Linked DNA regions of Struthio camelus. The protein of the gene in region 4 binds, or shares a complex with, the protein of the main gene of each other region. Links are inferred from orthologs where the notes say so. Each region holds a gene or a part of one and is shown on either strand. Other genes may lie near its edges. The genes, in order: SNRNP40, SNRNP200, LSM5 and PRPF31.

Region 1 (7,628 bases), on a different chromosome or scaffold from region 4:
GTAAAGTTAACCAACAGGCTTCCACGTTTTCCCTCGACCATTGCTATATCTTGCATTTCGCTACAATCAAAATCTGATGGGACGGAAAAGGTGTGTAAAGTCAGAACAGATGCACAAGATAGAAATCATCATACCTTAATATCATTGTCAATGCCCCCCGATATGATTTGATCACTGGTGTCATTGAAAGTCACAGCCAAGACTTGGTAAGTGTTCTGAAATGTTTGGACAGCAGCTTTTTTCCTGATATCCCACAGCTGAAAAGATATGGCAATTTTAAAAGTTACAGAGAGGCATTTAACAATAAAATCATAGAAAGTTGCAGACACGTTGCCGGGTCTCTGACTGCTCTACTGAAACTCACTTTTTTAGATCTCAAGAGTTAGCTACAAAAATAATAGCAGAGACATGCTATGGTCAGGAACACAGGACTTTTCGATTTCTGAAAATAGGGGACGGGGCAAGAAGGAGCTGGAGTAAAAGATTTCAGTACCTGTTTGCCTTCCTCATGTTTTGTTTATGCTGTTCTACACTGCAGTAAAACTTGATTTATTTTGCATTAAATCTATATCGATTACAATGCATCACAAACAAGCACACTGTTACACAGAAAGAAGACAGTCCTCCTTTAATGAGACAATGGTTTGTTTAGGCTGCTCCAATATGGTATCCCAACTGCATCTCCTGAACCCATACTCAAAGAATCGTGGAAGGAAAAGAAGTATCAAGTTTTATTGAAGTTGTTAGATAATGAAATTATGAGACAGTAAAGAAAGGCTGAATTTAACTCACTGAACCAGTAAAAACAAAAAAGGACTATCTCCTTATACAACGCACTGACCTTCACTGTCCCATCATCACTACCCGTACAGACAAGTTGGGGTCCACGCCTTGCTGGGTAACAGGAGTTAACGAATGACGTATGGCCCTTCAGTCTCTTTACTCTCTCTCCCGTCTCACTATCCCACACCGCCACTGTTTTGTCTGTGGATGCTGAGAAGAGCATGCTGCGGAGAAGAACAGCTGTGAAGTTCTCCATTTCAGAGGCATTTCTCCCATTCTACTTTTGTTACTCCCAAGTACCGAGAGCAAAGCTCGAAACGTTAAACACAAACATGTCATTGAGAAGAACTACGCCCAATATGCAAAGGCTGGTGCAAAGACAATTCTGGTCAGCGCAGACTGAATGACCGTGGAACAAGTACAGTGGAGATGCTCCCATCTAAACCCATTTTTTGATCAGTACGTATTGGTTTTCCACCTGCTCAAACACTATCTAGGATGAGAACACAGGAGAAAGAATTCTTTGTAGCACTCCTGGTTAAGATGTAACAGCGGAACAATCTTCCAAATTAAGAAATATCTCACTTGTTTTCTTTCACTCCCCAACCAACCAGCATCTCGCTCAAGACCAGCTCAGACTTTCACGTGTTCCTCAAGATTGAAATCAAGGGCACTCCTAGGTCACAAGTAGCTCCATATCTTTTGCTTAATCTCAAGCAGGCACACTCCCTTCCTGGGAAAGCCACAGTACAAGTGCTCCTCTTCAGTACCATTAATGAAGGTCAACTAAGCAGCTGCAATGAACAGGAGGAGCTCTAAAGGAGTCTGGCTGGCCAGCAGCAAATACGTTGCCCTGAAAACTGCCAAGCGCCCCTCACGAGCCACCTAAATGAGTGTGGCTGAGGTGCATGACAGATGCTGCCACTCTCCCAAAACTGTCTGTAGACTTTGTTCAGAAAGAGCAAGAAGTGAGGCAGAAAACCGACCTCACGACATTTACCTGCCATCTGTGTTATAGTGCAACTCCATAACCGCTCCACTGTGTCCCTTCAGGGTGGCATAATTATCACAGTCCCCATAGACGTTCCACAGCACTAAAGGACAGAAAGAGAGAGATTAGTAAATGAACGATGTAAACACGCACTCGCTGTGGATAGCTTGATTCTCCCGAAATTCATTAAAACGAACCACCTACAGTAGCCAACATCTCTTCACATCTAGGACATATAGCAATAAAAGAGTACCAAGTGGGCTAGGTGAGCCCCAGAAAGCACACAGCTCTTTTAAGGTGATTTACGATTTCAGATACAGGTGAATTTATTATGAAAAACAGGTAGCCACTCCAACCCATTCTAGCAAGCCAAAAGCCTTAAAAAATGTATTTCCAAAGATTGGTGCAGACACAAATGCATAGTAACCTACGCAAGGGATGAGCGAATACAGAATTAGGACAAGCAAGGCACATTACTGACCCTAGCCAAGGAAAAAGCCACACTACTTGGACAGCAACCTGTCCGAGGAGCCTGACGTTTCCTGTTCACCGCCTGGCAAAGCGCCGACGCGCTTTACATGGACTCAGCAAGCAGATTTTTGAAATGAAACTAACGGTAGTCTAAGGGAAGAGGCACGGGGCGGCTGCCCGAAGCCAGGCGAGCCCCGGCCCGGCTCCGCGCTCGCTGGGGCAGCGGAGCCCGGCGCCGCCAGCACCGCTGGTACTCACGGATGAGCCTGTCGAAGCCGGCAGAGGCGAGCGTGTTGCCGTTGGGGTGGAACTTGCAACAGTACACCTCGCCTTCGTGCCCCGACAGCAGCATGATGGGGGCCTGCAGGGAGGAGGATCGCGGCGGGCCCTGCGGGGAGGCAACGAGTGAGTCGGCTGAGGGGCGAAGCACCGCGGCCCCGTGGCGGCGGGACGGGGCACCCCCCCGGGGCACGGCCAGCGCCTTCCCCCTCCGCCATTTCCCCTCCGGGCCCCGGCCCCTCCACCATTTCCCCTCAGCCCGCCCGTACCGCCTGCAGCAGGGCCCCCGGCGGCGGCTGCTGCTGCCCCCCGCCGCCGCCGCCGCCGCCCGGCGCTCCCGGGAGGTCGTGGCGGGGCCGCTTGGCCGCCGTGGGCACGAGCGGGAGGTCGGGGCCGGGGGCGGCGCCCGGAGCCGGGCCGGGGCCGGGGCCCGGGCCGGGGCCGCCGCCCGGGACCTTCCGCTTGTGCTGCTCGATCATCGCCGCCGCCGCGCGCCCGCCCGTCCCGCCCCCTCGCCCCCATTGGGCGGCCCCGCCAAGTCTTCCCGCGCTGATTGGCGGAGAGCTCCCGGCTCGGCTCGCTTCGTACCTCACTTCCGGCGCGCGGGTGGCGAAAGGAGAGCAGAGGCGGCCTGGCCGGGCGCTCTGCGCGCGGATTGGCCGCTGGCGCCGGAGGAGGCGGGATGGAGGGAGAGAGGCAATATAGGTAAAGACGATTGGCTCACCGGCTGTCACCTGCGATCACCGCGCGCGACGGTTGGTGGAGCGCCGCTTTGCCTCAGAGCGAGGGGGGAAGCGGGAGGGGGCAAAATGGCGGTGGCGCCTGGTGGGGGTAAGTAACGGTGGCGGCGACGGGTCGGGCGCTCGCTCGGTCTCAGCCTCGGCGGGGCTGGTGTCGCGCTGGCAGGGGAAGTCTCGGAGCATTGCGGCGAGGTTGGGCTTCCCCACCCTCCGTCCGGATCAGGCCCGGCTGGGCCCGGTGCCGCCTGGGAGAGCGGCCCGAAGGCGGCCGCAGCTGGTGTCACCCAGCTCGAGGAGCTAGTGTCGCATCATAGCCTAAATCAAAATGAACCAAAGAATTTGTCATATTAGTCGAATGTCACTGAGCTGGTTGCAGGAGGTGTTCTCAAGTGCTGATTAAATATATTTTTCCAAGGCATCTCTCTGAACTCCGGTTACGAGCGTGGTTCCTCCGCAGCGCAGTGACGTGCAATGAGTTCAACTGGAGTCGCCCAGAAGGTTTTGGAGGAACGTTGTCGGTTGCTCCCAGAGACGCTCCCGAGCACGTCCTGTGAGGTCTGAGATGATGGAGGCGCTGCCTGAGCTCTACGCTATCTTCCAAGGAGAGGTGTGCAGTGGGGCTGCGGCCACGATACTGCGAGGTGTCGTGAAGTGCGGGTTGTTTGCTTTAGTTTAAATGACTGGTTAGTTCAGCGGTGGTTTGGGTAACTGTCAGCTACGTTGCTCGTTTATGTAAGTATACGTATATGTGTGTGTTCACACACACACACACACACACACACACATATATGCATATGTATTATTAACAGAGGAGTAGTTGGCTGGCCACGCTTGTTCTAGAGTTATCGAGGAGTGTTGTCTCTCCCCAGCCTTGAAGTCTAAAACTGAACTAAGATATGAGAACCATTTAGCCTTTTTTGTGCATGTTTTAACTGGTGGTTTCAAAACAGGATTTTTACCAAGTCTCTTTTGTTTAGATATTGTATTGATTTTCTTCACAGGTTGCTACTGTAACAGAATATGGGGCATTTATAAAAATCCCAGGCTGCAGGAAACAAGGTTTGTTTCTCTTATTTGTTTAGGCTTATTTTCATGTTGACTTGTTAGGCTCTGCAATCATCCCCAGAATAAAAGATTTGGCAATTTTTAGGAGAATACTAGAATTTCTCCTTCTTTTTCTCTATCTGATTTATCTGCTAGCTCAGAAAAAGTGTTGAACTTAAAAAAAAGAAAAAACAGGTTCTCACAAATTACTTAAGGTAGTGCTACATATGCAGTTATACAGAAAAGGCTCAGAGGATTTCAGAGGAAGTGGGTTTTTTTTTTTTTGGTAACTTCACCGCATCTTAGAGAATCGTTTTCAGGTGGTGGACAAACTATAGAAAATTCCACAAGAAATTTAGCTTGACAACTTATTTCTTTCATGACCAGTTTGCAAGTCAAATAAAGATGACTGAAGTGGACTTCAAATAAAAAATAGACCGGAAAAGCTGACTTAGTTTTGTTTACAGTTGTGGGAAAACTGCAGAGTAAAATAAACTAGTCACACAAAAGAAGCAATTTAAGCTGGATGTTCTGTCAATTGTTTGTATGCATACGAATAACCACTTCTTCACTCTCATCTTGAATTGCACACTTACTTTAGCGCCAGCTCTAATAAAAATTTTTGCATGGAAGTGTGACTAGTGGAAGGATGTCTCTTTGAGATGCAAACATGTCCTGAAATATAAGCCTAGACATGAAGGTGTGTTTCCATACTTATCCTTCCATGTATAATCCTGTAGCCCACATTTATTATTTGTGTAAGTTTTAAAAAAAAAAAAAAATCTGGCTGTATGACCTTGCAAGCACAACAGAAAATCAGGTCAGCCTGGGTATTTAATGGTTTTGACATTGCCAGCAAAGTATTGTGCTGCTGATGCATGAAATGTTCTTTGTTCTCTAGTGCTTACGTTGGTTTCAGAGGACGGACAGGAATAGAGAGGCGTTAATGCCTGCTTAAAATAAAAAGTTTTTTTTTTCTTTTTTTCCATGTGGACGCCTGGTATTTTGAGTACAAAGACGCTGCTTTGGGGCCTGCTTCTCTGACAAGCTGTAAATTAAGATCTTAAATACGGAAGGTCCGTTTTCTTTTTCTGGAGTTAGTGTCTCAGTTATCGGTAATGTCTCAGTTATCAATGAGGCGCCAGCTCATTGCACATAGTGCTAAATCATCCAGCCCCGGAGGTGTCTGGACACACATGAAAACTTGGACTGATGAATCCAGCCTGGAGGCTATGAGAATACTGTCTCCCTGTTGGTTGATCAGATCCCTTAGTTTTGATTGCATTTGTTTCATACAAAAACTTGAGGATTGTTTCTGTGGTGATGGTGGTCAGAAGGGGGCATATGCAGCTCTACACCTTTGGGGAGAGCAGTGCTTTTCTCATCGCTTCCTCTATCTCTTTTGACGCCTATTGTCTTGCTGTGTGTCACTCATGCTTCCTAACAGCATGGAGTAAATTTGGAGCAAATATTGATGAGCTTTTATATGTTTGCAAACAAACTTGATTGATTAAACTAACTGATTCTCATCTGCGTAATGTGTTTGGGAAACTAGATGCTTAGTTTTGCGTAGGGAAACCTCTTAATAGGTGCCCTCTGACTCCTAGAGGACAAAACTAACAGTCAGTAGAGACTTTTTTTTTTTTTCCTCCCTTTTTTTTTTTTTACAAAAATATGACCAGGCCTTGTTCATAAGACTCACATGTCATCCTGCCGTGTGGATAAGCCCTCAGAGATAGTAGATGTTGGAGACAAAGTGTGGGTGAAACTTATTGGAAAAGAGGTAATGTTAATTCTTGTTTCTTTAACACTGTATAAATAAATTATATTACAAAAAGAGTAAACTAAGAACTTTTTGATATGCAGAAGCAGGGTGTTCTGGTCGCTTTGTTAAACAAAACATGATATATCTGATAAACAGTTGATTTCTGCTCACTGTCAGGTGAGACATTGGAAGCTGACCTTCTGTGACTTGCTGCAATGCAATCAAAACTTAAAAGCAGCAAAGCGCTTTCCTTTCTTTTCCTCTCTACCTGTTTGCAGCTTGCACCCCCATAACTGTGTGATTGGTGGCCAAATGAGCAATTTGAGAGGATTCCAAGATGAGAGCCAATATAAGCACAGTCTTTTAACAGTTGTGAGAGACAGGTCTGTTATTAGAAGAAGCTGAGTGTTTTTTGTTTTCAAGGAAAGATAGTTGACAGTGAATTTTGCCCAAGGGAAAACACAGATTTTTTTTTTTTTTTTTGGAGGGGTGTGTCTTATTTTCTACCCTTTATTATATTGCTTTTTTGGTGCACAAAAGAAGTGATGCTAGGCCTATCTTCTATATTTAAAGATTCCTTGGAACAAAGACTCTTACTTTGGTGAGCCATTGAAACAGTGAAAGTGGACTATATTTTTTAGGAAAGAAAGGTGGGAAGGTGTTTTTTTGTGTGTGTGGTTTTTTATAATTCTTTTGGCAAATACATGTATTTTGAAACTTGCTGCCTTCTAGAGATGAGAGGTTTTTGTCATAATTGGTTTACATCTTTCAGATTTTTTGAACGATAACAATAGGGTTGACATACAAAGCAATGCCTTCCATTTGTGGAAGATAAACAGATTTAGAACCTTTTGGTGTGTACTTATAGAAGGTTGTAAAAAGACTTTTAAAAGTTACGACCTTTGCTCTTGCTTCTAAAGGGATAATGTGGCAATCAAGGGCTTATTAGGATTCAGAAAAGAATAAGCCCCTAATACAGATACTTAGAAAGTTTTTAACCTCATAAGAAGATAGAAATGTGAGAGCAGGTATAGAGTCTTATTTTTCAGGGTGCAAATCTGCTGAAGGTCCAGCAGAAACTCCCTTGTGGGTGGATTACTGATTAATTATTGAGAATTATAGCAAAGTTCCTAAACATACCCTTTCTTCTACAGCGCTTTGGTTCGCTCATGTTAAATGCAGAATGTTAATCTGAATGGATCTGTAGTTTGATCTTGTTTTATTTCTGAGGTAGCTGCTTAACATACTCATGTTAACTAGAATAACTGCATTTTGGCTGTATTTACATTTTAATAGAACAAAATCATTTTCACGTAGTAGCCTTGCTTTAGTAGTTCCTTTCTGTGCTGACAATTTCATTCCTTCTCTATCGGCAGCCTGTTAGATTTGTATTAGTTAACATCGCTGTTGCTTCCTCTTCTTGCTCTATGCCTTTCTCTTTCAGATGAAAGATGACAAACTGAAACTTTCCCTCTCCATGAAGGTCGTTAACCAAGGAACAGGAAAAGACCTGGATCCAAACAATGTTTCCCTTGAGTAGGTAAATCTACTGAGC
Region 2 (7,429 bases), on a different chromosome or scaffold from region 4:
CTCCCTTGCTCCCCACGCCAGGTCCAGCCCAAACCAGCACGGTGGAGGGTATCCTGGGGAACAGCAGCTCCGGCGCGGCACCCGTTTTCCGAGCAGCGAGCACCCACCTCCTGGTCGGGGTCCTCTGGCTCGTTCTGGCACCCGGCGAGCACCAGGCGCTGCAGGGTGGCGGGCCGGACCAGCGCCAGGAGGTGGCACAGCGCCTGCAGCTGGTGGGGAGAGTGGGCGTCAGGGGCGCAGGCTGACGCCCGCCCAGCCGGGCTGCCTTGTCTCCCCGCGCGCCCGCAGAGGCACCGCTCACAGGGTACCGGAGCCCGTAACGGATGCCATTCTGAAAACGAGGGAGCGCCCAGGCTGCGCCCACCTCTGCTTGCGCCCGGCCGGGCAGCACCGTGCCCAGCGGCTCCCCCAGCAGCCGGGCCATGATGCAGAGGCTCAGGTGTCGGCGAAGCTCCCTGCGGAGAAGGCAAGAGCGTGAGAAGGGTGTTGGGGCTGGCGTGGCACGGGGAGAGGTGCCAGCTCGCGCCCACGCACCCCGCCACGTGCCCGGCCCTGCACAACCCACGCCCGTGTGCCAGGCTGGATCGTCTGTGCAGCGCCTGGCATGGCACAGTCCCGGCGCACTCCAGGTGCCCGGGGCGAGGGGCGGCGGTGCCCCGAGCGGAGCCGGCAGCCGGGTCCTGCCCGCTTTGTGCGCGTGCAGCCGGTTGGAATAAAGGAATTAGAGCGAGACGCATCCGAGCCTGGCCCTGGCACGGCGCCCGCAGGGCCGTGCCAGGCTCCTGCATGGCAAAACGGAGCTCGACTCCCCGTCACCGCGGCGCGGGGGGCACGAGATGCTCGGTGCGATGCCAGCAACTGCTTCAGCATCCCGGGGGGTGGGATGCAGGTAGTGCCAATGCGCGGGCACGTACCTGCCCCTGCTCGTGATGTCCGGGAGCAGGCGCACGACGGCAACCAGGTTATGGTGGTGCTGCGAGACCTGGCACAGGGACAGGCACAGATTTGGCAGCTGGGGAGAGAAGGAGGTGCTGAGCGACGAGCAGGGCGGGCACGGGGCTGCACCCGGGCGGCAGAGCCCTCGAGGGGACGGGGCGCGGGGGCGCCAGGCTCAGCCCGACCGCTGAGCACGCCCAACTTGTTGCGTTGGTGATGTGCAGCAGGGTTTGCTCCCCTTGCCTCGGGTACCTGCTCCTGCCAGTCCCCAATGCCCTCCAGCAGGCAGTGCAGGAGGTGCTGCAGGTCGGGCAGGGGCTGGCACCGCAGCGCCCGGTCGAGGCTGAGGAAGCAGAGCAGGGTGAGGAGCGCCAGGCGGGCACGGTCGGGGTAGCGGCCTGGCTGGGCGACCACACACAGCGCCAGGAGCTGGCAGGGGAAGGCAGCGTGTGAGCCGGGCGCCAAGGATCCCGAACACACCCCTGAACCACCCCCGTGCCCGCATCGTTGCTGGGGCAGGGATGGACTGGCGGCAGCCGCAGCGGGCACCCCTCCAGCAGCTGGCATCAGCGCTGCTCCGGGCCTGACTCTCATTAGCAGCAGCCCCATTAGCTGGGCGGAGATAACGAGGGCGGTCAGCCAGGACGGAGGCGCCCGGGTGCTGCCACACGAGCCCCTCCGGGTGGATGCAGCCACCTCCCTGTGCCAGGCTGCCCGCGCCAGCGGGCGCTAGGTCCCACCGCGGGGCGGGCACGGGCGCCGCGCTGCCACCTTGCAGATGTCGCTGAGCTGCGTCGCCAGCGCCAGGGCGCTGGTCGCCTCGGGGTCTGCCTGCCCCGGGCATCGGGGAGGGTCCGGGGGCCTGCAGGGAGAGGAGCGGGGTCAGCGCGGGGGGCACCCGAGCGGACCCAGGCGTCCCGATTCTCCCGCGCCGATCCCGGGCTCACCTCCTGTCCGCGGGGCACAGCTCGAGGGGCAGCAGGCCCTGGCGGTGCAGGGCGCCAAGGTCGGCGCCCAGGCGGCAGAAAACCTGGCTGATCTCCGGCACCGTGGGGCACCAGGGCTCCCCTGCGGGCGAGGGGGGCCGGTGAGAGCGGGGTAGGGGGCGCCCCGGGTGAAGGCAGCCCCGTGCCCACCCCGCGCTCACCCACGGTGCTCAGCCGGTGCACGTTGATGTCCCACAGCACCTGGAAAGCGTTGGCCGTATCCGGGCACAGGGCCATCAGCTGCCAAAGCAAAGAGGGCGTCACCGGCTGTGGCGCCGCCCGGGCACGGCTGGGACAACGGGGATCCTCCCACCGCGGGGGCCCGGCTTACCTGGAAGAGCCAGCGCAGGACGGGCAGCGGGCACGCGGGCACGCAGCGGTACAGCAGGCTGAGGTGGCCCTCACGGACGAAGGCGGCTTGGCAGGCAGGCGAGGCGCTACGGAGGGTGACACGGGTGCGTGTGCCCGACCACGGACACAGGCGGACGCGCAGCCCGGCGCGGGCACCCGCGTGCAAACATAACAAATACCCGCCCCCAACCAAATACACGAACACCCGCCCTCGCCCGCAGGCAGGACCGCGCGCGTGCCGGCAGGGCTGCCGTCGCGCCCAGACGCCGGCTGACGTGTTCCCGCAGGGCGTCACCCAGCCCGGGGGACGGGCCACGGGCGCGCGGAGCCGCCGGGACCCCCGCCGCCGGGCTCTCACCGGAGGAAGAGCGCTTCCAGGTCGCTCTGAGGCTGCAGCCCGCCAGCGTCGAGGGTGGGCGCGGGCAGCGGGCGGGCGTGGAAGACGGGCTCGCCGGGGTGCACGGCCGGGATGAGCGCCGGTTTGACGGCGAAGCGGGCCAGGAAGAGCCTGCGGGCCGGAGGGCAGAGCGGCCGCCGTGGTGCTGGGCGGGCGGGCGGCGGGTGCCCCGCGGCGGCCACCCGCCTGCCCGCGCCACTGCTACCTGTGCTCCTCGGGCAGCGGGGCGTCCTCGTCCGGGGACTCCTGCGGGCTGCCGTCGTCCTCGCATACCCACTCCGGGCTGCTGCGCGGCGCGGCCGCCTGGTCCTGCTCCCTGCCACGGGGGCGCTTAGGGCGCGACGGGGGCCGTCGGGCGCCCCTTAGCGTGACGCCCTGGGCCCGCCTCACCTCTTCTCCTTGACCAGCGAATCCAGGCTGTTGGCGAGCGGATCCGGCTGCGGGCACAGGGCAAGAAAGCGTTAACTCCCCAGCGGCTCCCGCGACACCCCAGGGGAAGGAGCCGGATGCCCGGCGGGCGCCAAGCAGGGACCTACCCGGCCGCGCCGCGGTGGGCTCCGGGCCTCGTCGCCCGCCAGCAGCAGGTCCCGCAACGGGATCAGGACGTCCTCGCCGTCCTCGGGGGACGCCCGCCCGCTGGCCTCGTCCGGCGGGCGCCCGCAAGCCGCCCGGCCTCGTGGCCGCCCCGGCGACCGTCCGCCTCCGGCGCGGCGGCGCCCGCCCTCGCCCCCGGGGCTGAGCCGGGAGCGACGCGACGCCGGGGCCGGCCCGGGCGACGCTCGTTTCGGCGAGGAGCTCCGGCCGGCCCCGGGGCCGGCGGCGCGTTGCCTGCTCGACGCGCCGCGCGTCTCTTTGGGCCGGCGGGGCGGCGGGGCGGCGGGGCGGCGCTCGGCCGCCGGCGGAGGGCGGCGGGGGTGCGGAGGGGGCCGGGCGCGCGGTCCTCGCCGGCCCCCCCCCGCCGCCGCCGGTGGTGGTGGCGGTGACCGCTCGCCTCGCGCCCTGCCGGCCTCACGCGGCCGGCGCAGGCCCGGGGGGCCGGGGGCGGCCTCCAGCAGGCCGGGGGGCGGCAGGGCGAAGGGGGGCCCCACGCGCAGCTGCTTGAGGGCCCGCAGCTGCTGGTAGCGCTGGAGGCTGGCCTGGAAGCGGGGGCTGAAGAGGCCGGTGCGGGGGGCCCGGGCCGACGACAGCGGGATCTGGTACCAGCGCAGCCCCGGCGGCGCCATGGCCGGGCCCTCGAGGGGGCGGCGGGGGGGGGGGGGTGCCCGCTGGGCTCTGGGGGTGGGGCTTAGCTGGGCGGGGTGCGAGGAAAGGGCGGGGCCTGGGCGAAAGGGGCGGGGCCGAGCGGGAGGAGGGCCAATGGGAGGCTGGTGGGTGGGGGGAGGGGGGGGTATGTGCGGCGCTGGCCCCTCCTACCCGCGGCGCTGCTTTCAAATGGCAACTGGCAACGGCCCCGCCCCTTCCTCCCCGCCTCCTTTCCCGTCTGAGCCAATCGGAGCTGGGGCAGGGCGGCGCGCCCCGCCCCCTCGCGTCTGGCCGAGCCAGCTCTTTGGTGGGGAGGAGCAAGGGAACGGTCTATCAACGGCAAAGCCCCGCCCCCCTGCCAATCAGCATGAGAGGCGGGGCTAGCCCCTCCGTGAGTGTCTCCTCCCCTCAGCAGACTCCCGCCTCGCATGCTGGGAGATGTAGTCCCCGAGGCAGCAGGGCATGCTGGGAGTTGTAGTCCCGAGGGGGCAACGCCGCCCCGCGGCACCAGCACTTCCGGGTCGCCTAGGGGCACCGGAGACTGCTTCCGCTTGCCCCGGAAGTTCCGCTGCCTGCTCCGGTGCGCGGCGGCGGCCAGCCCGGCGGCGCCATGGCGGATGTGACAGCGCGGAGCCTCCAGTACGAGTACAAAGCGGTGAGTGCGGCCCGGCGGGGCCTTGAACCTCCCCCGAGGCGCCGGGAGGGCTCCGGGTTCCCCCCGCGGCCCGGCCCGGTCGGGTCCCGGGCTCCCGCGGCCTCGGTGCTGCCGCAGCTCGGCGGGACGTCGCCGTGAAGGGGAGCCGGGCAGCCGCGGGGGTCTGCGGGCGGGCAGCGCCGCTGGCTGGAGCAGGACGCGGCCCCCAGGACGCCCTGCAGCCGTTTAGGCGCGCCTGGGCGCGGCCGCAGCAGCGCCCCTTCCCCCTGGGCCCCCTAAAAACCAGCCAGTTTGAGAACATTTCTTTGTAGCACCGCTGTTACAAGAGCGGTCAGGAGCTCGGCGTCCTTGGAAAACAGAAATGAGTGCGACGCCCGCTTTGAAGCTAATTTTAAAAGTGCTCCTGTCAGACTCTGAGGCTTTCTGCAGAATAAAAGCTCCGGTTCTGGTGTAGTTGTCAGATGCTGTAGCGTAACGAGCGAACCCTACGGGGACTTTCCCGACTGCCAGAAGTTACAGGGTGCCGTCACGTGACTCAGTCCAAGTTTAAAGTCTAAAACTGTGGCCTCTTCAAGCATGAATAATTTAATTCGGCATTATTTTTCCTGCATTGGGCAGGGGAAAGTTGGACATGCTGCATTAAAGGGGGTTTTATGTACTTAATAGAGCCTCTGGAGCAGGCAGAAGAGGCTTCTAGATTTGAGCGGGGGAGGTTGCTGCACTGAACCTGCTTTGGCCTAGGTCGCGGCTGGCGCTGGCTTCTTGGTCTCACCTGTCCGGATGCAGTGGACTGCGTGGATTGCGTTAATATTTTCACAGGCCCGATTAGTGCCTGTTTTTATTCTTTCTCTTCCAGAACTCCAACCTCGTCCTTCAAGCAGATCGCTCCCTCATCGACAGGACTCGGCGAGATGAGCCGACCGGAGAAGTGCTTTCCTTGGTTGGAAAGCTTGAGGGCACCCGAATGGGAGACAAGGCCCAGAGAACCAAACCGCAGATGCAGGAGGAAAGACGAGCAAAGTGAGTGATTGACTCCTGCCCTGAGCTTGCCGTTCGAAGCCGAAGGGACGCAGAGCCCTGAAAGAGAACCTCCTGGTTGTATTTGGATTAACAAAGCTCTAGGCAATTAATGTGCTAGACCCCGTCTTTTAAGTAATACAATCTCAACTTGTTTTAGTTCTGTGAATGTGGTATAATTCAATACAATTACGACCCCCATTCAGGTCGCTTTCCAGCTACTAAAAAGAGCATCTGTACTTCAAATCAATTGTTTTGTGTTTAAGTGAATGTGGTAGAATAAACCGAACTGTGAAACTTTTTCAGGTTCGAGAGTTCATGCTGCATAAAGCTCTCTTAATGGTATCTTATGTCAAAGAGAAACGACTCCTTGATTCCCGCTGCTTTGGCGTAGAGTGGGAGAAGCGGCTCTGCTTCCTGACTAACCCAGGTGCTGTCTTCCTTGCCCTTCTTTCTAGGCGAAGGAAGCGTGATGAAGACAGGCATGATATCAACAAGATGAAGGGTTATACCCTGCTGTCTGAGGGCATTGATGAGATGGTGGGGATCATCTACAAACCCAAAACCAAGGAGACCCGCGAGACCTATGAGGTGTTGCTAAGCTTCATTCAGGCAGCCCTTGGGGACCAGGTAAGGACGTGGACAGGTCAGCGAGGGTATCTCTGCTCCAGCAGAGGATTCAAAGCGTGCATGTAAAAGTGCGAGAGAGAAATCCGAGTCCTTCTTCGTTATCCCATGAGATGGATTCGCTCCCTTGATTCTGTGTTTTGTGCTTGTAGATATCACGTTAGTATATTCGTTACACTGATGCGGGGTGGCATATCTCTGTCGTGGGATGTGACCTTTCGATGGCACAATCTCTGCTCCCCCCGTGCCTACGTGAGGGTGCAGAGCTCGAAACGAGATGTTTTCTAAATCTGGTGAGCTATTTGTTCCAGGACTTGAGAACAGAAAGCTGAAAGGATTTGGTCCAGAAATAGGAGGGAGTGATACCGTACCGTTTGAATGACAGTCCTCTTCTTGGCAACACGTGGTCACGTTCTTTATTTTGCAGCCACGTGACATTCTCTGTGGAGCTGCTGATGAGGTCCTGGCAGTCCTGAAGAATGAGAAGCTGCGTGATAAGGAGAGGCGGAAGGAGATTGATTTGCTACTGGGCCAGACTGATGATACCCGCTACCACGTGCTGGTGAACCTGGGCAAGAAGATCACGGATTATGGTGGCGACAAGGAAATCCAGAACATGGGTATGGGCTGTGCTGTAGCGGGCTGCAGCTGTAGTAACGGGGCTGGCAGAAAGTAGTATTACGGTAATTGGTACCAAACCCAGCCTTACTCCAGGAATAGTGTTTTCACACAGAGGAGCTAGAAAATTTTGGACTCTTTTCAAGCCCGAAACCTGGTTCTTTTCAAAATTTGGATGTACGGAGGTGGGATGTGTGGATCTGCAGAGCTTGCATATGGTCTCCAGATTTTCAGATTAATTAACTTGGCTCTCCCTTGCAGATGACAATATTGATGAGACGTATGGTGTGAATGTACAGTTCGAGTCTGATGAGGAGGTAAGAGATGAGACGCTGCGGGGTCTCTGTGCTGTCCCCCCTTGCTTGTTGAGCTGCTCAGCAGGGACCACGTGTGCTTGGCTTTCCTCAGCCATGCTGGGGAAGCAGGCATTGGCTCAGGCTAGGATACCTCTGCCAGGAAGGAGAGGCCAGATTACTTTAGACACTGCTTCCTGGCTTTGGGAGGATTTGTTGATTATCTTGCTAATCTGAGGCTGATTGTGAGTGCATGTTACTGAAAACAGATGGTGATATTTAGATCTCTTGGAAGAACTTGAGGCAT
Region 3 (7,920 bases), on a different chromosome or scaffold from region 4:
TGCTGCAAACGCATCCATACATAAGATAATGGATGTGATTTAGATGCATCCTGCCCTACATAGTTGTACAGCCAAGCACTCGTAAGTTAAAAGCCGCTGTATTAACCAGCCTCCAAAGAAGGTTCCAAAGCCAGAAGTGATTCCCTAACACACCTGAAGACCAGAAAAGGATTCACCAAAATGAAATTATGACCATCCCATTTTCACAGATGTTAAGCTGTAACACATGACAAGTATGACAATAAGATCGCTTCTCTAGCCTCAGTCATATACACATATGCCCCTAAAGCTACTCGAAGTAGCCTATGTAGCGGACCACTCAGCTTGGAGTAGCAAATCAAGCAATAATTGAATTCAACAACTGCAGACATAAGTGCATGCAATCTCTTTGCAATGACGACTTACCATTGTTATGTTATTTCCGTTTAGCAAAATCTGGTCTAGTTTTGTGATTCTTCTGCCCTCAGGTGTAATTTCACTGAAACGGCATCAGGAAAAGAAAAAAAAAAAGACTTAAGTAAAATAAGAACATACCACTATGGAAGATGATTATAGTTTTGATGATTGTACTGACACAAAGCTCTACATTAGAATGAAATTTATCAGAAGTAACAAATAAATTAGCTATCTCACAACATAATCTTGATACATTGGCCATCTGGGTCAAGAAATCTACGTGAAGACCAAAGAGATCCATTGTACTTTTCTCCTTAGCACATAAAGATGTGGATTTACCCTCTAAATCCTACCAAAATCTTGACTACCACTAATATTCAAAAAAGGCTGCAAATAGCAAGATAGCAAAACAAAGTAATGACTACTTATCCTTAAGTGTGCCAGGTTTCCAAATCTTTGCCTATGTGTTACAAGGCCTTAAAAGCAAACAAACTACTGGAGAGTTCAACCCAGAACCCATGCAAAATTGAGGCTGTAAATTAGGAGCTTCATTAAAAATATTTACTGAGATAAACCATGAAACGGGTGCTCTATGACATGGCTGTCCTCAATAGGTCATCATCTAGTTTAAGTCTAAGGTCTAAATTATTCAATCAACAAGTATTCCAAAAATATCACATTACTGTGCTGATACCATGTTTTTGTAACTTGGAAAATCAAAGTTTAAAAAGCCACAAAAGATAGAAATAATACTTACAATTCTGTAACATCTTCTAACACCATGTCTGAAAGTCTAGTTTCAAGGAAAATAAGGTAGAGAGACCTTAAGGTGCAGAGACTCTAAATTATTTTCCTTTTACGTGGAAGTGTGATTTCATCTATAAAATAAAATCAGAGTAACATATGAAACAATATAATAAATTTCTACTCAGTGGAATTCCAAACTCTTAAAAGTAATAGACAAATTAAGCAGAAACATGAAGTTTAGGCTTAAACCTTTCCATTAAAGGATACTGACAAAGTCATCAAATCCTAGAAGCGTTCCAACAATTTCTTTATCGCTCTTCATCACAATATGAATGCGTGAACCTATACATTTGTCCACAAGTTCTGCAAATTAGGAAAAAAAATTAAAAGCATTAAAAACACACTTCTAAACAAAAAGCCCAACATTATGATGGCAAAAAAAGTAATTGTCAAGGGCACCAGCAAAACAGAGAAAAATAAATCTTTTCCTTGCACAGTTTACTACTAATGCTACACAAAAAAACTCTCTAAGCATGTTTATACAGTACTATTACCTTACTTTGGTGAAGCCATATTACTACTGCTGTTAACTGCATGTTTAATTAGTACCTGAGAGCTAAGCACCAAAGTTAGATCTATCTTCAGCAGACCTTTGTGCTGCATCCCTATCGAAGATATGAATAATTTCTTTGTATGCTGTCTACTCTTAAAAGACTCGTTATTTTTCCCTCCAGAGACAGAAATTTAAAACCTCTCCTAATCAATATTTGCCAGAAGTCGAACAGTTTACCCATCCAGACATTGCTCCTGAGCGGCCCGAGTAGCGATATAACGCACTGGGATCCCACAATTTAACAAAAAGATGTAAGGCAGAAATTTTATGGACAAGTTACGACTGTTCTCCTCACCTTTCTTCCCTGACCACCTCCTCTCACAGCAGTGGAAAGCTTTTGTTAGGCTTTACCTCAATTTGGGGGGGTTACTTTGTTTTTTTTTCTCCGCCAAGAACGCTTGACGTTTGAGCTAGAACCATGCAGCCCCCTAGGCTGAAGCCGTGACGGGCGCGACTTCCTCCCCCACCCCGGACCCCTCACACGCCGAGGGCCGGGACCTCGCTTCCCTCCCACGCCGGCACAGCCAGGCCCCCACACTCCCGCAGAGACATGACACGACACCCCCCCCCCGCCCCACCCCAACGGCCGCTCTCGCGCACCCGCCGCGCGCCGCCCGTGACGTCAGCGCCCGCCGCCGCGCGTGACGCGCGCCCCGCCCCTCGCCTCCCAACCGCTCCGGGCCCCATTCAAACCTCCCGCCACGCGCGGTGCCCCTCGCGCCGCTAGGGGAGCCTGGGCACCGCCCTCTCTTCCCTGCTCTTTCCTTGAGGAAAGCCCCCCCCGCACCCCGCGCCGCCGACCGCAACAACCGGGAGAGAGCGGAGACACCGCAGCGGCAGCGCTGGTTACCGAGCGGCAGGAGCTGAGACGGGTTGGTAGTCGCGTTAGCCGCCATATTGGACCCAGGCCTAACCAGTCGCTCCTGCGGAAGTGAACGGTCCGCTGACGGCGAGGCACACTCTTGGGTCGGAGCGGCAGCCCCGCCTAGCCGATGTCCGAGCGCTCGTTCTTCCCGGGAGCTCCAGGCCGGGCAGCGGGGGGACATGGCCGCCCTGGCCACGCAGGAGGAGCCCGGAGTGTTTTTCCTCTTAGGCGGAGCTGGTACATCTTCCTCTCTAATCAGCAGGCAGGGGCTCGGTCGCTGTCTGTAGTGGATGCCGTGCTCCGGCTCCCTCGGCTGCGGTGGGGCTCCGTGCTGTGATCCGGCTGAGGAATTAAAGGGATTTAAATTATTTTTCGAGGTGGAAAAGCCGCTGCGCCGTCTGCACCCGCTTAGTAACGTAAGCCGTAATGCTACAGCAGGGAGCGGGCCCCGCTGTGTTTCAGGGTGAGCCTGGCTCTCTGCCCAAAGCTTCGTTGTTTCTAAGGGCTTTAAAAATCCTCCTGATTTCTCGAATCGCTTGAAATTTACTGTCCCTAACGGTTGTGCCGGCTTTTTTTTTTTTTAGTGCCTCGAACTGGAGACTGTTGTCAAGCTCTAGCTTTTTTTCTTTTGAAAAATTAAATATTTTACAGAATCGTGGTTTTCTGAAGGTTACCCACATTGCAGCACCGATCCTCCTTTGGCTAAATATTATCACGCCAAAGTAATTTCAACTACGTATTTTTCCCCTGGTGGGAGATCTACGTAGTCACTGAGGGCAGTCAAAAGAAAAAGGTAAAACAAAAGCCAAGCGATGTTGCACAAGTAGCAAAACTGTAGCTGCGTTGAAACTAGGCAGGTTTTTTGGCAATTTGATATGTTTCGTTGAATGTGAGCTATACCCGGTGCTCTAAATCAAATGACCGCAATTCAGTAGGATCATTTTGCATACATACTGATCCAAAACATGCCTTTAATGAAATTCTTGTGCACGTGAATTCATGATAGTGAAGACAGATGAACTTTCACTTTCAGAGGTTTTTTCCTCTTGCCTTACTGCCTTTTTCCAAATTTTGATCAAAATAATCACTTTGTTCTGCATGGGTTTTTTTGTTTGTTTATTTAACTAATGGCTATTTTCTGTATTTTAATGTTCATATCTAAGACTTTTATCTTTGTAAAATATCCTCCAGTTTCCTAATACTGTGAGACATTCATGAATTCTCTAGCCCATCATTACTTTCTTTGTCTTTTACCTTTCTTTTTTTTTTTTTACAGGAGAAGGTTCCAAGTGGGAGATCATAATCCCAAGCAGAGTCATAGTCATTACTACATAAAATTCAGTTTGGTTTTGCTAGTATTTGGTGTAAGAGCCTCAGAAGCAATACACTCCAAACAGGAACTGAGATTGTAACCAGCAAGAAATCAGTTACAAACCTCAAATCCATGCCAGGATTTCGTTTATGCTTTCTTATTAGCAGAAATCTCAGAATAATTATTTTTAGTCACATGCTCTTCTCTACAAATTCACAATTTCTTCCTTTAGGAAAATGGGCTATACTTAAAAAATTCAGTGAAACTACCAGCTACTACAAGCACTGCTCACCTCTGAGGCTACTTCTAGATGCATAAAACATACTTCTCTTGTAAAAGTTATCCATCTCAAGAAGTGTCACTACACATAATCAGCACTGATAACTTTGATAATTGTTACTAAATTCCAAATGAGTGACAAATTCTGTTTGCTGTGCTGATGTTATAATAGCTTGCGGTAGCTCAAATATTACTGCTGAGAGAAAAGAACTCCCTCTATGGCCAACTGAGTTTGTTCGAGTTTATTACTGATATTTGTTAGATATGCATTGAGAAAGTAAATTCCATTAGGAAAGTTCCCACTGAGACTTTCATAGCTGCTCTATCTCCCTTTCTATTCCATAACTACACACACACAGTGTTAGCTGTGAAAAAGACATAAAATATGTCAGTCAGTTCAATTTTCTAAAACAGGCTGATGTCATTCAGTCTAACATTTAACATTTTTATTTATTGCCTTAGTGGGAAAGAAAATTTCAAACAATGAAAAAAAATCTAATAACCTATTCAGAGAAGTAATAATCCACAGTTATCCAGCAGTCTCATTGTGATGCCCTTATAATGCAAAATCCATAGCACTGAGAGTACTGCCACACTGCCCTTTCTTCAATTAACTGAACATGAAATAAAAATACTCTCAGGCATCTCTTTTTTGGTATATCCTGTTACTGGAGGGGATAATGGCTCATATTTCACACATTGTTCTTTTTTGGAATTATATTGAGCATCATAAAAGTAAGGTACAGAAAAGACCTGATAAGGAATTGTTCTCTTGCCAGTGAAGGATTGTTCCCTGCAGTTTATCCTTTGTTCCCCAAAGTATATATTTTATGTAATGGAGCTTCTGTTGAAGTTGAAGAACAATATGTAATTATAGACTTTGGTGTTAGAATTGGAGCTCCTGGGTATTGTGGTAGCGATGAGATTTTCTTTGAGCATTTTTCTTCTATTTTTTTTTCCCAAATGAATCTCTTCTTCTAATTTCCACAAAGAGTCCTAATTATTAAGGGTACAGTCACTAGCAAATGCTGTTGACTTAAACAGGACTGAATCCTGAGAAAGGTTAATGAGGGAGCATGGTCTGAGCACAGCAAGATAAAAGATTTTAACTCTCTTATACTGAATTTGTTTGTGCTCTGGGACAGGGCTTTGAACTCTCTTCCTCAGGATATCCTAATATATGTTTAGTAGTGTAACAGCTCTAATGGAAGTGCATTAACTTGATTTTTCCAACTTGAACCCATTAATAGATGTGCCCCCAGTTAAGCAACCCCACGGCTGACTTCTCTCAAGTTCTGCAAACAGCACGGAGCCCTAATTTGTTTGAACAGCAACACTTGGAAAATGGAAGATCCATGCCAAAAAAAAAAAACAACCAAACTTCAGAAATAAGTTTATCTTTCGGTTTTATTTTCAGTCTTCCGCAAGCCACCTCACTTAACGTGGATATTAAAATCGGGTCAGAGTTTTGTGCTGCCATCAGTTAAGTAGTCAATAATTAAGATTTACTGAGAGAGAGAGAGAGAGAAACTCGCCACCGTTTTCGGGTGTACCCAGCCCCGGGGCCGAGCGGGCAGCGGCGCTCCCGGCGCGGGGCAAGCGGCGGCGGCGGGCGGAGCTGGGCGAGCACCGGGCAGAAGAAGGCCGGGCGGGGCGAGACGGGAGGCTCCGCCCTCCGCCGGGCCGGCGCTGCGGAAGGAAGCGGGTGGCTGGGGCGGCTCCGCCGGGCTCCTGGGCGGCGGGAGGCGGAGCGAGCGCCCGGGCTCGGCGGCGGCGGCGGCGGCGGCGGGGCGGTGGGCAGCGGCCTTCGGCATGGAGAAGCCAGGCGCCTCCCCGCCGGCCGGCCCTCAGCGGGGGCCGGTGCTGCACATCGTGGTGGTGGGCTTCCACCACAAGAAGGGCTGCCAGGTGAGGGGCGCCGCCTTCTCCCGCGTCTCCCCACACCCTCCCCCTGCCCCCCCCGGCGTGGGGGGGGGTCGTTTCCTAGGCCGTAGGGTCGGCGAGGCTGGGAGCTCGTTGGGGCCCAACGGTACTAACGGCGTACGGGGCCCGGAGGTGCGGGGGGGCCCGCCGAAGCCGTGACTCAGTTCGCCTCGCGCGGCAGAGGGCGGTTAACGTGCGGTCAGGCGCGCGCGCGACACGCCCGAAGCGCTCCCGCCCGAGGGTGAGTGCGATGCGGGCGGGCGAGGCTGCGCCAGGCTCGGCACTGCGGGTCCCTGGCGACGGGTGTCGTGTCCAGCCCCCCTCCCCCCGCCGGCGTTTGACATAAGCCCTGGTGATCACTGCAGGCCTAGAGGCAGAGGGGGATCTCCAAGAAGGTCAAAACAAAAAATATTTTTGCGATTTTTTTTTTTTTTTTTGAGGTGAATCTGCTAGCGATGGAGGAGCAGCGACCCGGAGCGCTGCGGGCGCTTGCTGACAGGCCGGACAGCACATGCTGCTGGGCAGGGCAGGCAGCTGGGGCCGGCGCCCTGCTCCCTGGCGAGCTGTGCTCGCCTCCTGCCCTGCCTGCGCTTGGCGGGCCCCTTCCTGTGCTGGGGAGCTGGGCAGGCCTCAGGGGCGCCCCGTGGGAGCCTTGGTGTCAGGAGAGCATGGGGCCTCCGTGCCTTCACGGTGCTCTGCCTCTCCTGCACGGGGTGAATCCCTGAGGTAAGAATCGGGTGGCCCACAAGAAAGCAGAGAGCCAGCTCTCTGCCCCTGCGCCCGGACTCCTGGAGTGCTATTGACTCCCTGTCCAAAAGGATTAGTGTGTTTTAGCCTCTCTTTTCTTCCCCCCCCCTCTTTTTTTCTATAATTTTCCATTTTAAGAGCTTTGTTATAACGAGAGATTTTTTTTAAGCTTGTTTTATGTCAGTAGGACTTGTATTTGAGCCAATAAAATAATGGCTATTCAAACAATGTTTTGCTTAATGTTGCAGTATTAAAATAAAACTAGTATTTAAGCTTCTAGAGTTGTTCCACATTTTGTGATTGGGCAGTCTCTAGAAGAACTGAGGTTGAATAAATACTGACCTCTGCTAGGAAAGACAGTGAGTTCTGTGTTCAGAAATACACATAAGTTTTAAATGATCAAATGATGAATAACTGTTTGTATGAGTTTGCTGTGTTGTTGGTGCATTTGTTTTGTTTTTAAATATGGTTATGTTGTAAGAAAATTTTGAACACTTGGACTTGCCGTTCCTAAAGGGAAAAATAACCTCTGTAGTCTGCAGATTTTGTTACCCAACTAGTCACCAAACATAGTTGCTTTGTTATTATCAGAGTAGTTGGATATGCAGATGGAAATGACTTGCTGTGAGTTTGCATGAGTCGCAGTATTTCTGGTAAGCAAATGGTGTATGAAATGCCAGTCAGGGTAGCTGCAATGACCAAAAATGATTTTTTTTTTTTGGTTTTTAAATCTTGAGCTCCTAATTTACATCAGTGAATGCTTAACACAAACAGTGTTTGTTATATTTGTTCTTTTCCCCGCTATTCCTTTCCCCTTTTTTCTTTTCTCTCATTAGCTAATCTTTAAAGATTGTATTTTACTGTTTCAATGTGGGTAGCTGTGGGTAACACTCTTCTTCTTTCCCTGCTCCATATCTGGAAGGGTGGATCAAGCTGTCTGTGCTTTTTTTAAATGATCCAATATGTTTCAGAACTGAATGGGCTGGTAACCCATAGCACTGTCTTACCAGCGTCCTTCATCATTCCTAGAAGAAGCCC
Region 4 (7,253 bases):
ACCTGGGGGATGGAGCGGAGCGGAGCGCGGCTCGCGGGCGGGACGTTCCCGAGGAGGCCGGATGCCCCAGGGAGACCCCCCCACGCTCACCTGCGGCCCCCCCGCTTCTTCCTCTGCCCGTCGAGCGGCGCCGGCAGCGGCTTCACCTGCTTCACGGGGGGCGGCTCCTGCCACTTGTCGAACTTGCGCTCGATCTCCTCCTTCAGGTCGTAGCCGACCTGCGGAAAGGAAACGAGACGGCGCAGAGAGCCCAGGTGTCCGGGCGTCCTCCCCGAATCCCCCCCTCGCGCCCCGAACCCCCCCCCCTCACCTTCCCGTCCTGGCTCTCGTGGAAGCTGTCCACCCGAGCTGCCAGGGTGCACTTGGCCGAGACCAGCCGCGCCGCCTTCCTCCGCAGATCCTGGGGGAAACGGGGCGTCAGTGCGGGGCTGGGGAGGGGGGCAGGAAAGGGGGGGGGCGCCGGGGACGCCATACCGGGGGCAGGGACTGCACGATGTCGCTGTGGTAGATGTAGCCGGTGTGGGGCAGCACCGAGGTGCTGGAGAAGCCCGAGAGCGTCTTGCGCTGCGCCCCCAGCAGCATGATGTTGCAGGCCGGCATCTTGGAGAGGTTGGTGAGGCCCCCGGCGATGCCTGGGGGGAGGCGGGGGGCATCAGGGAGCAGCCCCCGGCCCCAGGAGGGGCTCGCGCCGGGCGCTGGGGGCAGGCGCCAGGGCTCACCCATGATCTTGGCGGCGGTGGAGGCCCCGACGATGATGGAGAGGTTGGGGGCGATGAAGGACATGCGGGACTCCACGTACTCGTAGATGCGGTGCTTGGACTGGTTCAGCTCCAGCGCCATGTCGCAGGCTTCCTCGATGCGCTCCAGCTCCTCGTCCGTGAGCTGCTGCCTGCGGGCGGAGCGGCGACGAGGGAGCCCCGGCGTCCGGGCGCCCCGGCCCCCGACGGCGGTCGGCTCGCAGCCGCCAGCAGCACCGACTCACCCCTGGGTGGTGGAGGCCGTGACGCTCACCACCATGATGGTGGCGTTGGTCAGGATCTGCTGCACGTTCTCGTTGTTCTTGCACTTGTCCAGGCTGTTCCCCAGCTCCTGGGGGCAGACGGGGCGGGGGCAGAGGGCTGAGACGGGCCCCCGCCGGCGTCCCGGCTCCCCGCTGCCCCTCTCCGGAGCCGGCAGAGGCCCCAGGCGTCCCCCAGCCCCGCTACCTTGACGGTGCGGATGTAATCCAAGGCGTTGGGGACGAGAGACTCCAGCTCAGGGAAGCGCTTCGAGTATTTGTCCCGGATGAACTTGTGGATGATGTCTGGAGGGAGGCGGGGCGGGGGACGGAGCCCCCCCGCACGAGTCAGCGCCGCAGGGAGGAGGAGAGAGGAGCCTCCTGCCCCCGTTCAGCCCTCTGGGGACGCCGGGACGTCCCCAGCGTCGCCCCCCCGGCCGCCAGCCCCCTCCCAGCACTCACTGAGCTCGTTCTCGATCTCCACGGTGAGGTTGTTGGCGTCCACGATGACCCTGTACTCCGGAGCCGCCTCCACCGGCCCCAGCACTGCCGGGAGAGCGGCCGAGCTCAGGGCCGAGCCGGGGACAAGCACGGGGAGGGGGACGCCGGGGCAGAGCGCCCCCGCGTGGGGCAGCGTGGCCCCCCCAGGGCGGGGCAGAGGGCTCTGCCGTGGGGCTGGGAGCGGGGTGGGGAGGGGCCGGCACCTTCCGCGGCTTTCGGCTGCTTGCTGATGTACTCCTCGATCTTCTGCATGATCTCCGCGAACTGCGGGGCCGCAGGGCGCTGCGTCGCGGCGGAGCCGGCGGCCGCGAGCCCCGGCGCAGGGCAGAGCGCCCCGACCGCGGCGCCCCCCTCACGTCCTCCCGGGCCCCCTGCCCTCCCCTTCCTCCTCTTCTCCTCCTCCCAGCAGCTCCTTCTCCTCTTCAGGTCCCCTGAATCTTCCCAGGACCCCCCCCAACTTCTTCCTTGGCTCCCCACATCCCTTCCTCCATCCTCCCAGGACTGCTCCTTCTCTTCTTCCCGAGACCCCTCCCTTCTCTTCCTTCTCCCAGAATCCCCTTCTCTGTTCTTCCTGTTCCTCCTCCTCGCGGGACCCCCCCCTCCTCCTCCTCCTCCTCCTCGCGGGACCCCCCCCCCTCCTCCTCGCGGGACCCCCCCCTCCTCCTCCTCGCGGGACCCCCCCTCTCCTCCTCCTCCTCACAGGATCCCCCCCTCCTCCTCCTCCTCGCGGGACCCCCCCCCCCCTCCTCCTCCTCCTCCTCGCGGGACCCCCCCTCTCCTCCTCCTCCTCCTCCTCGCGGGACCCCCCCTCTCCTCCTCCTCCTCCTCCTCGCGGGACCCCCCCTCTCCTCCTCCTCCTCCTCCTCCTCGCGGGACCCCCCCTCTCCTCCTCCTCCTCCTCCTCCTCGCGGGACCCCCCCTCTCCTCCTCCCCCTCCTCCTCCTCCTCGCGGGACCCCCCCTCTCCTCCTCCCCCTCCTCCTCCTCCTCGCGGGACCCCCCCTCTCCTCCTCCTCCTCCTCCTCCTCCTCGCGGGACCCCCCCCTCCTCCTCCTCCTCCTCGCGGGACCCCCCCTCTCCTCCTCCTCCTCCTCCTCGCGGGACCCCCCCTCTCCTCCTCCTCCTCCTCCTCCTCGCGGGACCCCCCCTCTCCTCCTCCCCCTCCTCCTCCTCCTCGCGGGACCCCCCCCTCCTCCTCCTCCTCCTCCTCCTCCTCGTGGGACCCCCCCCTCCTCCTCCCCCCGCTCCCCCCGGGACCCCCCTCACCATGCGGCTGTCCCACAGCTTGGCGATGCTCTTGACCGAGTCCACGGCCAGGTCGAGCTGCGTCTCCTCCTGCACATCCTCGATGGCCGGCTCGTCCTCCTCGTCGGCGAAGTTCTCCTCCTCCTCCTCGGCCGCCTCCTCCAGGTCGGCCAGCAGCTCGTCCGCCAGCGACATGGCTCAGGCCGCCGCCGCCTCCCCGCGCCGCGTCGCCGCCTGACGACCTCACTTCCGGCCGGGCGCGCTCCCTCCGACGTCACTTCCCGCCCTCCCCAGCCGCCCTCGCTCCGTCATCATCGCCGCGCGCCCCCCCCTCCCGCCGGGACTGCGTCATCACCGCGCGCCGCCTCCCTCCGCACACACCTCCCCCCCCCCCAAACCGAGGCGGCGGCGGCGGGACCGCGGCGGCGACGGGTGACGTCATCGCCGGGTAGGGGGCGGGGCCGGGGGGGAGCCGGGGGGGAGGGGGGCACCGGGGGGGGAACCGGGGGTGAAGGGGGCACCGGGGGGGCAGAAGGGGACCGGGGGGGGAACCGGGGGTGAAGGGGGCACCGGGGGGGCAGAAGGGGACCGGGGGGGGAACCGGGGGTGAAGGGGGCACCGGGGGGGGCAGAAGGGGACCGGGGGGGCACCGGGGGTGAAGGGGGCACCGGGGGGGCAGAAGGGGACCGGGGGGAGCACCGGGGGGCAGAAGGGGACCGGGGGGGGAACCGGGGGTGAAGGGGGCACTGGGGGGGGCAGCAGCAGAGGGGCATCGGGGGGGAACTGGGGGGTCAGAGAGGCACTGGGGGATACCGGGGGGGGGACACCGGGGGGCAGGGGGGCACAGGGACCTCAGGGGGGGTCACTGGGGGTAAAGGGAGGTACTGGGGGGTCACTGGGGGTGAAGGAGGCACCGGAGGGGGAGGGGGAGGAAGGGGGAACCGAGGGGGGGGCAGGGGGCACTGGGGCCTCGGGGGGGTCACTGGGGTGAAGGGGGCACCGGAGGGGCACGGGGAGGAAGGGGGGAACCGAGGGGGGGGCAGGGGGGCACTGGGGCCTCGGGGGGGCACTGGGGTGAAGGGGGCACCGGAGGGGGACGGGGAGGAAGGGGGGAACCGAGGGGGGGCAGGGGGGCACTGGGGCCTCGGGGGGGTCACTGGGGGTGAAGGGAGGTACTGGGGGGGGCACTGGGGGTGAAGGGGGCACCGGAGGGGCACGGGGAGGAAGGGGGGAACTGGGGGGGGGGCAGGGGGGCACTGGGGCCTCGGGGGGGTCACTGGGGGTGAAGGGAGCACCGGAGGGGCACGGGGAGGAAGGGGGGAACTGGGGGGGGCAGGGGGGCACTGGGGCCTCGGGGGGGTCACTGGGGGTGAAGGGAGCACCGGAGGGGGGACGGGGAGGAAGGGGGGAACCGAGGGGGGGCAGGGGGGGCACTGGGGCCTCGAGGGGGGTCACTGGGGGTGAAGGGAGGTACTGGGGGGGGGCACTGGGGGGTGAAGGGAGCACCGGGGGGGGGACGGGGAGGAAGGGGGGAACCGAGGGGGGGGTCACTGGGGGTGAAGGGAGCACCGGAGGGGCACGGGGAGGAAGGGGGGAACCGAGGGGGGGGCAGGGGGGCACTGGGGCCTCGAGGGGGTCACTGGGGGTGAAGGGAGGTACTGGGGGGGGCACTGGGGGTGAAGGGAGCACCGGGGGGGGACAGGGAGGAAGGGGGGAACCGAGGGGGTCCGGGGCGGAGGAGAGAGGGATCGGGGGGGGGGGCGGGCAGTGAGGAGGAACAGAAAGACCCCTGGGGGCTGAGGGGTGCTGGTAGGGGGGGAGGTGTAACGGGGCCCAGAGGACCCCAGCGGGGGGGGGGGGGCAGCAGCGTCACAGCAGGCCCCCCCCCACCCCCCGACCCCGCAGCGCCATGGCGGGGGTGGGCTTCGAGGAGTTCTCGGCGCCGCCGGGCTCGGAGCTGGCGCTGCCGCCCCTCTTCGGGGGCAACATCCTGGAGAGCGAGCTGGAGACGGAGGTGGAGTTCGTGGACGGCGGCCTGAGCGGCGACGCGCGGCCCGAGCACGAGCGCGAGCGCGAGGAGAGCCGCCGGCGCCACCGCGAGCTGGCCCGCCGCAAGCTCCAGGCCCTGGGCCGCCGCTGCCGCGAGATCGAGCAGGTCAGGCCCCGCCCCGCAGGCCCCGCCCACGATAAGCCACGCCCCCAACATGGCCACCGCCACCCCTTAGCCCACCCACCCACACACTTTGCCTTTGGGGCTGTTCCTATTTGAGAAGCGCCTTTGCTTTCCCCTTGTTCTCATCACACAGGCCCCGCCCACTCCGGGCAGGCCCCGCCCCCGCGCCCAAGCCCCACCCACTCCGGAACAAACCCCGCCTTTTTTATCTGGCCCCGCCCACCACACGGGGGAGTGGCCTCTTGGCTTTCAAGTAGCCCCCAAGTAGCCCCGCCCTTTCCCAGGATGTGGCCCCGCCCCCTCTGTGGGCAGCCCCTCCCACTGCAAGCACAGCCCTGCCCCCTCAACTAGCCCCACCCACACGCCTAGCCCCTCCCACAGCCCCGCCCTGGTCACGCCCCCTGGGTTGGCCACGCCCACTTCAGGCAGCTCGTCCTGCTGCTCCCCAGCTCTGCCCCTCCCTGCATCGCCCCGCCCACACAGCTAGCTCCGCCCACTGTCCCCATCCTGGCCACGCCCCCGGCAGGGGCTGACCCGCCCCCTTCCCCCCCCCCAGGTGAACGAGAGGATCCTCAACCGGCTGCAGCAGGTGCAGAAGATCACGCGGCGCCTCCAGCAGGAGCGGAGGTACGGGGCCGGCGACACCGCCTACAGCGCCGGGCACCGCGCACCGACACCGCGCCGACACCGCGTACAGCGCCGGGCACCGCGCGCCAACACCGCGTACAGCGCCGGGCACCGCGCACCGACACCGCGCCGACACCGCGTACAGCGCCGGGCACCGCGCGCCAACACCGCGTACAGCGCCGGGCACCGCGCGCCGGGCACCGCGCGCCGACACCACGCTGACACCGTGTACAGCACCGGGCACCGCGCGCCAACACTGCGTACAGCGCCGGGCACCGCGTGCCGACACCGCGCCAACACCGCGTACAGCACCAGGCACCGCGCGCCGACACTGCGTCGACACTGCATACAGCGCTGGGCACCGCGCACCGACACTGCGTGCCGACACCGCGCCGAAACCACGTACAGCGCCGGGCACCGCGCGCCGACACCACGTACAGCGCTGGGCACCACGCGCCGACACCACGCCGACACCGCGTACAGCACCAAGCACCGCGCGCCGACACCATGTGCCAACACCATGCCAACACCGCGTACACCGCTGGGCACCGCGCCGGGCTCCGCGCCAACACCGCGTACAACACCGGGCACCACGTGCCAACACCGCACCAACACTGCACTGACACTGCATACAGCGCTGGGCACCGCGCACCGACACTGCGTGCCGACACCGCGCCGAAACCACGTACAGCGCCGGGCACCGCGCGCCGACACCACGTACAGCGCTGGGCACCACGCGCCGACACCACGCCAACACCGCGTACAGCACCAAGCACCGCGCGCCGACACCATGTGCCAACACCATGCCAACACCGCGTACACCGCTGGGCACCGCGCCGGGCTCCGCGCCAACACCGCGTACAACACCGGGCACCACGTGCCAACACCGCACCAACACTGCACTGACACTGCATACAGCGCTGGGCACCGCGCACCGACACTGCGTGCCGACACCGCGCCGAAACCACGTACAGCGCCGGGCACCGCGCGCCGACACCACGTACAGCGCTGGGCACCACGCGCCGACACCACGCCGACACCGCGTACAGCACCAAGCACCGCGCGCCGACACCATGTGCCAACACCATGCCAACACCGCGTACACCGCTGGGCACCGCGCCGGGCTCCGCGCCAACACCGCGTACAACACCGGGCACCACGTGCCAACACCGCACCAACACTGCACTGACACTGCGTACAGCGCCGGGCACCGCGCGCCAGCACCTCGTACAGCGCCGTGCACTGCACACTGACACCACGTACCGACACTGAGTACGGCACCGTGCACCAAGACCGCACTGACACCGTGTGGTGACACTGACACCGCATACGCTACCACGCACCAACACTGCACGCGCCACCACACACCGACACTGCATACGGTACCACGCACTGATGCCGCGCACGGTGCTGCACCAACACCGTGCGCGGCACCAACACCGTGCACCGACGCGGCGCGCTGACGCTGCGTGGTACCGATACCACCCAGCCCCCAACACCGCGCGCCGATGCTGCACGGGCTACCGTCACCGTGCACGGCCCTGACATCACGCGTGACGTCCCGCAGGCGGCACTGACAGCCGCGCGCAGTGTCCGCGCGGTGCCGTCAGCCTGCGCGCGGTGACAACAGCCGCCCGCACGACACCGTCATCGCACCCCGTTCCCTGTTCCCCCGGCAGGTTCCTCATGAAGGTGCTGGACTCCTACGGGG

What was found.
Region 1: PRPF31 (region 4) and SNRNP40 share a complex: the UniProt entries of both Homo sapiens proteins name them as parts of the U4/U6-U5 tri-snRNP complex. The link is inferred for Struthio camelus from reciprocal best matches to the Homo sapiens genes PRPF31 and SNRNP40.
Region 2: PRPF31 (region 4) and SNRNP200 share a complex: the UniProt entries of both Homo sapiens proteins name them as parts of the U4/U6-U5 tri-snRNP complex. The link is inferred for Struthio camelus from reciprocal best matches to the Homo sapiens genes PRPF31 and SNRNP200.
Region 3: PRPF31 (region 4) and LSM5 share a complex: the UniProt entries of both Homo sapiens proteins name them as parts of the U4/U6-U5 tri-snRNP complex. The link is inferred for Struthio camelus from reciprocal best matches to the Homo sapiens genes PRPF31 and LSM5.

The regions. Positions count from the first base shown.
Region 1 is NC_090964.1:4,646,885-4,654,512, reverse strand, and holds the start of SNRNP40 (U5 small nuclear ribonucleoprotein 40 kDa protein), read right to left. Parts: upstream 3,013-7,628; 5' UTR 3,004-3,012; coding exon 2,794-3,003; intron 2,634-2,793; coding exon 2,504-2,633; intron 1,878-2,503; coding exon 1,784-1,877; intron 1,008-1,783; coding exon 842-1,007; intron 258-841; coding exon 135-257; intron 1-134. Other genes in the region: ZCCHC17 (zinc finger CCHC domain-containing protein 17), read left to right, coding at 3,827-3,871, 4,266-4,323, 5,991-6,091, 7,518-7,609. UniProt on the Homo sapiens protein: Required for pre-mRNA splicing as component of the activated spliceosome. Component of the U5 small nuclear ribonucleoprotein (snRNP) complex and the U4/U6-U5 tri-snRNP complex, building blocks of the spliceosome.
Region 2 is NC_090968.1:1,325,949-1,333,377, forward strand, and holds the start of SNRNP200 (U5 small nuclear ribonucleoprotein 200 kDa helicase), read left to right. Parts: upstream 1-4,418; 5' UTR 4,419-4,522; coding exon 4,523-4,567; intron 4,568-5,423; coding exon 5,424-5,587; intron 5,588-6,042; coding exon 6,043-6,214; intron 6,215-6,638; coding exon 6,639-6,831; intron 6,832-7,090; coding exon 7,091-7,146; intron 7,147-7,429. Other genes in the region: protein FAM178B, read right to left, coding at 108-209, 365-455, 915-1,012, 1,189-1,365, 1,708-1,798, 1,884-2,004, 2,084-2,162, 2,254-2,359 and 4 more. UniProt on the Homo sapiens protein: Catalyzes the ATP-dependent unwinding of U4/U6 RNA duplices, an essential step in the assembly of a catalytically active spliceosome. Plays a role in pre-mRNA splicing as a core component of precatalytic, catalytic and postcatalytic spliceosomal complexes.
Region 3 is NC_090943.1:55,214,247-55,222,166, forward strand, and holds the start of LSM5 (U6 snRNA-associated Sm-like protein LSm5), read right to left. Parts: upstream 3,008-7,920; 5' UTR 2,803-3,007; coding exon 2,607-2,802; intron 1,507-2,606; coding exon 1,411-1,506; intron 1,182-1,410; coding exon 1,154-1,181; intron 479-1,153; coding exon 406-478; intron 1-405. Other genes in the region: late secretory pathway protein AVL9 homolog, read left to right, coding at 6,025-6,120. UniProt on the Homo sapiens protein: Plays a role in pre-mRNA splicing as component of the U4/U6-U5 tri-snRNP complex that is involved in spliceosome assembly, and as component of the precatalytic spliceosome (spliceosome B complex).
Region 4 is NW_027182594.1:29,839-37,091, forward strand, and holds the start of PRPF31 (U4/U6 small nuclear ribonucleoprotein Prp31), read right to left. Parts: upstream 3,008-7,253; 5' UTR 2,938-3,007; coding exon 2,764-2,937; intron 1,763-2,763; coding exon 1,702-1,762; intron 1,544-1,701; coding exon 1,460-1,543; intron 1,304-1,459; coding exon 1,206-1,303; intron 1,090-1,205; coding exon 983-1,089; intron 890-982; coding exon 720-889; intron 633-719; coding exon 475-632; intron 401-474; coding exon 311-400; intron 219-310; coding exon 91-218; intron 3-90; coding exon 1-2. Other genes in the region: TFPT (TCF3 fusion partner), read left to right, coding at 4,652-4,897, 5,472-5,542, 7,222-7,253. UniProt on the Homo sapiens protein: Involved in pre-mRNA splicing as component of the spliceosome. Required for the assembly of the U4/U5/U6 tri-snRNP complex, one of the building blocks of the spliceosome.